Xenopus tropicalis: one gene and its partner. The protein of the gene in region 1 purifies or fractionates together with the protein of each later gene. This does not show direct contact. Links are inferred from orthologs where the notes say so. Each region holds a gene or a part of one and is shown in the gene's direction. Other genes may lie near its edges. The genes, in order: fhl2 and eya3.

What was found.
Region 2: the proteins of fhl2 (region 1) and eya3 purify together in Homo sapiens (affinity purification with mass spectrometry; 3 studies listed by BioGRID and IntAct, with this or other methods). This does not show direct contact. The link is inferred for Xenopus tropicalis from reciprocal best matches to the Homo sapiens genes FHL2 and EYA3.

What each region holds. Positions count from the first base shown.
Region 1 is NC_030678.2:111,695,958-111,699,178, reverse strand, and holds part of fhl2 (four and a half LIM domains protein 2), read left to right. Parts: intron 1-2,061; coding exon 2,062-2,231; intron 2,232-2,780; coding exon 2,781-2,967; intron 2,968-3,221. UniProt on the Homo sapiens protein: May function as a molecular transmitter linking various signaling pathways to transcriptional regulation. Negatively regulates the transcriptional repressor E4F1 and may function in cell growth.
Region 2 is NC_030678.2:79,400,924-79,404,448, forward strand, and holds the end of eya3 (eyes absent homolog 3), read left to right. Parts: intron 1-1,189; coding exon 1,190-1,290; intron 1,291-1,759; coding exon 1,760-1,840; 3' UTR 1,841-2,739; downstream 2,740-3,525. UniProt on the Homo sapiens protein: Tyrosine phosphatase that specifically dephosphorylates 'Tyr-142' of histone H2AX (H2AXY142ph). 'Tyr-142' phosphorylation of histone H2AX plays a central role in DNA repair and acts as a mark that distinguishes between apoptotic and repair responses to genotoxic stress.

The sequences.
Region 1 (3,221 bases):
AGGGTAACCCATTAGTTCCTAAGGTCTTTACCGTTACATCCTGTACACTCCATTTCTATTTCTGCCAGGTTAGAATCTGCTATTCCTCTGGGTGGAAAAAGAGGGAAAGACTTTGCACATGGAATGTGCAAAATGTGCAGTTTCACATGTTTCTAATTTAACTTGACCACCAATGCCTAGGCTGTAGTATGTCTGGTACAGACCTGCTGGGTTACTGTATATGTAGTGGATTGGATTTTATTTACTTTTTTATTTGAGTAGGAAAAATCCTGGGGAACTGATTTATAACAAGGAAGCCAATTACATAGCATGTGCCTCAAAAATCAGTTCAGACATAGGTTTTAGTCTGCAGTCCTTAAGCACCTATTATAAATATCCCTTTTTATAATTAAAATTCAATGGGAAGCCTGCAGTAGCAGCCAGCTGGTGTCACAGCGCTGTGATGGGGATCTTCCTGTAAAATTCTGTTCCTCATTTGTTCTAATTTAGGAGAATAATTATGATCACACGCCATGCTATTTACAACTTAGTATCATTCTGTCTACTTTTCAGGCAATTTAGAGGTAAAACTGCATTTCCTGAAGCTATTTATACTCATAGGCTTCTGCTAATACAACATACCATATATCATGTAATTCAGTACAATGTACACATTTTGCATTAAAGACAATGCCAGACTGGAGTGCTGGGGTGCAAGTGGAATGTTCCCAGGATCAGTAATGATCTTGTGGTGTCCCACATTTCTTGTGGTCCTTCCCTTTGAATATAACAACGTCACAGATATTTTATACAGCATTGTATCAGCAGATCAGTAGTAGTTACAAGAGTATCTAGAGGCAGCAAAAAAGTGTCCACCACACAGTAAATGGATTAAGGATACCAAATCAAGCTACCCAGATCTTCAGGTTGATCCCCCTACCTACAGCATTCAGTGCAACAGGGGAACTATTACCTTAGAGAAGAGGATTTTAATTTCTCTCTTTATTGGTTTTCCTTTGACCCTTTATTTGTATTTCTGCCCATTTGCCTTGACTAATTTGCCCAGGTATTCTATTACAGATTTTTATTTATGTTTCAAAAGAGAAGAGCATCAGTGGTGGTCAGGGCTGCCATCAGAAAGTTTTGGGCCCTATACAAGTTATTTATATGGGCCCCCCATGAACACAAGTGTGCGGGACCAAAATCTTGTGTGTGTAATATAAACAGCTGATGTTACTCTGTAATAAGCAGTTCATATAGAGTTCCATTAATTAATATACTAATTAACAGTAGGTTTATTGGGGGTGAAGTTTGCCCTAAGTTCATGCCCCTGCTCTGCGCTGTCATTGGCCCCAGAAGAACAGTCCCCCTGTCCCCCCTGATTGCTACCCTGCTGGTGGTAGTGTGGGGCTGTAGCAATGGATTAAACTTGTAGCTATATAAGAATAGTTCAGACATGTGCTGGGCAATAATAACTAGTAAGTTAAGCCATGGCCCACTATTTTTTCAAATTTACTTTAAAAAATTTGGAGGGCAACCATGGAGTCTCAGCTTTGATACTTCAACTTCCATTACAAGGCAGACAAAAGTAATGTTAGCAATTGTTCTTATTGTGGGTGTAATTGCCTGCTCTTTATATAACATTGAATGGATCATTTGTAAATGTGCAAAATCTTGTATTTTTTAACCACATCTTGTTCTTTTTTTTTCATTACAAAAAGTGAATGAAAAACAAATTACTTTGTAATGATTTTGGAGCAGTATTTATATAGTACAGGTATCGGACCCCTTATCCGGAAACCCATTATCCAGAAAGTTCTGAATTACAGAAGGGCCGTCTCCCATAGACTCCATTTTAATCAAATAATTCACATTTTTAAAAATGATTTCCTTTTTCTCTGTAATAATAAAACAGAACCTTGTACTTGATTGCAACTAAGTTATAATTAATCCCCATTGGAGCCAAAATAATGCTATTGGGTTTAATTACTGTTTAAATTATTTTATTAGCAGACTTAAGGTAGGAGATCCAAATTACGGAAAGAGTTTCCCTGGACTCTAACTGTGCAACCTCTGTTACAGGAACTCGCAAGATGGAGTATAAAGGTAACAGCTGGCATGAGACCTGCTTTATTTGCTCCCGTTGCCAACAACCCATAGGGACAAAAAGCTTCATTCCAAAGGATAATCAGAATTTCTGTGTGGCATGCTATGAAAAACAATTTGCAATGCACTGCGTCCAGTGCAAGAAGGTACTGGAAATGTCATAATTATTATAGAACCAAAAAATGTATATGTATAATACACAAGAAAACACAATAGTGTTTAAAGCCTGTGAAATAAAGCCTGATTGTAAGTACAGCAAATACAAACTTCAACGCCCCCATTGTCTTTCTACTGAAATAAGTGCTTTTCCAAGAATGACAAAGCTAACGAGTGAAAAATTTACTTATACGCAAACAAGATATAATAATGATAAAATATTATTATTATTATTATTATTATTATTAAGTATTAATATCAATAAATATTATTTAACTTAGTGCAGACACTGATGGCCAGCACAAGGCCTATATTGCAGAGTTTACAGTTTTATAGTTTCAGTATTTGAATTTCAAGCAGTGTGCATGATGTACACTACAAAAAACAAGTCAATTGGCCATCCAGATCTGACTTAATGACCAGCTTTAAACTCCATTATTTCCTTTCTACCATTTTGGATATTTAGTACTTTTCTTGATGATGAATTGATTTTGCTGAAAAGACTTGAGACTGATTCTTTTAATTCTATTGTCATATAGGCCATCACTACTGGAGGTGTTACATACCGAGATCAGCCTTGGCATAAGGAATGCTTTATTTGTACAGGATGCAAGAAACCGCTATCTGGTCAACGCTTCACCTCTCGTGATGAATTTGCCTACTGTCTGAATTGCTTCTGCAACCTGTATGCCAAGAAATGTGCTGGATGCACCAACCCTATAAGTGGTACATGTGTTGGACTATAGTTTATGTTCTCTTTTAAATTACTAATAGCACTAATTACTAATTAGGGGCAGAATGATTAAAATGTGAGTTTACAGCTTAATACATATAAACTCACCAACGTTCTATTCATTCCAGTGGGATTTTTTAAAAACTTATTTATCAATGGGTGAAAATTAGAACTCACCATTTGATAAATACGCTTCTAAAAATCTCATAGGAATGAATAGAACATGGATGAGTTTTTATGTAATAAG
Region 2 (3,525 bases), about 32 Mb from region 1:
ATCTTATCCAGCGTGTCTCTATGGGCTGAAAAGCACAAGCCGGCTCCCTGCTCCTGTTACAAAGTTTCTGCAGCTGCACAAACCCCCCCAAGCTCTACAAACCCCCGCTCCTGCCACAAACAATCACCGCTCACAGCACCAGCTCGCCCTCCCCCTCCTGCTTGTCAGAGAACTCAGCGATGCTGGGTCGCCATGGCAACCAGACGCTTCTGCCCTCTGCGCATGCGCCGCCTGCAGTAACGAATCTCTAAGTCTTGGGGGAGCGATGTATTATGGGAAATCTTCTCTACCCAGCTCAGCATTTTTTTTCTTTGTTTGGCTTCTGATCTTCTGAACGGCTGAAATATGGGGAGACTTAGGGGCACTATTGAGAGAACTGAAGGTATGCCTGCAGCTTGGGATTAACTCTTTATTAGCCTTTCCTTCTCCTTTAACCTTAGGGGCAAGTAATATTCTGTGAAGTGAGTCCAAGGCTTGTACCGAATGTGGGAGCACAAATACTTTTGGTTGTTCCTTTTATTTAATTTTGTGTCAAAACATAAATAACAGTTGTCAGTAAATCCTTTGAAACATTGCTATTGTATGATTCGCTTGTAGTTGTATTAGATCTGCACTGTAAATCACTTCCCATGTACTGGCCACTTACAAAACATATCACATTTCAAGACCAGATTTAAATAAAAATGTCACATTGAAAAGTTAATTGAACCACTGGGCAGATTGTGACTATAAAAATACCTTGGCAGGCGCTACATGCAGCCCTCAAACCTTCACTCTGAACGGCACAGTCTGATATATGGCTGATAAGCAAGAACCTGCAACATAATACATATCATCACTTACTTCCTCAAACAACAATTCCTCACCCAAAGATCACAGTGCTTTAAACAGGAGAAACTTTCATGGACAACATTATACTTACTTGCTTTCTATAATTGACCAGTAACACTAATATTTTATATGCATTTAAATGTAATGCATTGTGTATTTGATTCACAAACTGTACTAGTTACATAAATTAGCTGTTATGCAGCTATGGTGGCAGCCATTCAACTTAAAGGGCAAAAGGCAAAACTTGCCTATTTTAACCCTAGTATTCTTTAATCCAGCTTACAGACCCATTGCCTGTGTCATTGTACTTATATTTATCATTAGTAAAACTAGGCATTTTTTCTTACTTCCTTCTTAGGAAAAGAAAGCTGCTTTGAAAGAATAGTGACAAGGTTTGGGAAGAAAGTCACTTATGTGGTAATTGGAGATGGGAGAGATGAAGAGATGGCTGCAAAACAGGTATATTGGAAATGTATTATTTGTATATATTTGTCCATATTGATGTGCACTGATATAACAGAGAGACAACCCCTTTACAAGCTATGTAATTATGGTGATATGAAATTAATAAGTCATAAATCTGAAACTTGAGAACTCCCCCATGTGTTTGACAAAGTTTGTTAAAAGTATATTCCAAACTTCAACCAGTAGGCTGATACTTTCTGGTCCCCATGTTTGTGCCACCAGTTTAGGGAAACTGTGGATTTTGGAAAATGGCAGCCAGAGGAGCTGCTTTAAGATGACATAGATAATCACTATTATTGGGCCTGTTGGGGGGCTGTTTGGGCCAGTCTGGACCTCCTCTAGCCCTTTCCTGTTGTCCATATTACAAGGTATAAGAGCGCATACACCCAGTCTAAAAAATATAGTGTGCATTTTGGGTAGTTACCCAGGTGTCAAATGATTTTCCTTTTTCTGATCCATTTAGCACAATATGCCCTTCTGGAGAATAACAAACCACAATGACCTCATCTCACTACACCAAGCTCTGGAATTGGACTTCTTGTGAGGATCTCTGTAAGAAAGTGGACTTCAAGCCTTTTAGAAACCCAAAGACCTGCATTCAGGCCCAAGAGTAACAAACTGGCCATAAGCTTTAGGCTTAAGATGAAAATGTAACTGATCTGAAAGACTTAGTTCGGCTTCAGATCCAGAGGTCTGGCCACAACAGAAGATTGAGACATTTTCTACAGTTTCATTCAAGATGCCACCATTCATCAGTTTCAAGATCCTAACCTCCTGCTATACATCCTCCTTCCCCTTTAAAGCCCACTTTTAGATAGCCAACTTTTTCTCCTTCTCCTACTAGAATTTCTGCTGAAAGCCATCAGTAGTCAATTCTGTTTTAATGCAGGTAGGGAGATTTATATGCCTGTTAGTTTTTCACAGTATCTGTTCTTTAAAATCCGTAAATAATTGTAGCAGTGGGTTCTGATTTTCCTATAAACCCGTACCACCTTTTCACATGAAGTAAACAAATCTAAGATAGATTGTCTGCATCAGACTAGATACTACTACTGCTTTACAGCTCTCTACCATGGAGTCTGCACCCATCAGGTTACAAATACACTTCTGGGATTTTTAATAGTAACTGAAGAAATTGCATATGATTTCTTTCTTTTTTTTCTGGACTGCCATTCTGGAAAAGTTTCTGAAATACCTCGATTGGGGAGAGAACACCCCTAACCATGATATCACCTTGGATGACAGTAACTTATTAAAATGTGGATTTTTTTTTTCTTCTTCTTTCATTTCTTGGTTTTCTGTACTTCTTTCATTATTCAAAAAAAGCAAGATTTTTCATTTCTCATTTCAAGTTAGGGTTTAGTGTTTACATTTATTTTAATGTTTTTCTCATTTTTGTGTGTCTTAACTGGGAATAAAATTTCAGTATTTGATGAGGTTGGAAAAAGCAGTCCTACATACATGCAAACCATACAGTTACTGATTACTGAATAATGTTCTTACCTACATTAATGGCCATATGACTGGACTGAACAAAGAGTGCCCAACATGCAAAAGTCTCATCAAGCCACCATCACATACCAGTGGTACTGGTACATTGACCAGAAGTTATACCACTTAACATTTAAAATTTTAAAAGAGAAAAATAGTTATATCCAAATCACAAAACTACATTAGATTGCTAAATCTGTACTGTTCACCTAAATCTGTACTGTTCACACCTCAGGCTCAGACTTTAAGTGCCCACATTGTTCACACCTTAGACTGTAGAAGCAGTGCCAGCATTGTCACTGTATGTACTGCCTGCCCTATGCTGCCTGTGTGTATGGCAGCATAGGAAATGCCCTTCATCTGGTGCACTTTCTGGATTACCATACCTGTTTTTCATTATCACTTTCTGTTTGCAAAGGAACGAAAGGAAACATTACATAAGTATTTTATCACTGAAGAAGCAGACTTTGGAAGTTGGGGTCAGTCACCAGCACTGGTTTCCTTTTTCTTTCAGCAAAAAGAGTCACAAATGATTTATTTTCTATTTATTCATAAAGTGGCTGAGTTTGTCCCAGCGCTGTACAAAACCTGAGCAATAATTAGCAAAAAATGCAACTAAAGGAAAAACAAGACAAAGTTGGAATCAAGCAATCTCTTTTATTACAAATAAATATGCATAGAAAAGTCACTTTATGACAAACTGTAGTATCCATAAAAATAGATTTTTTTTTCTATTGC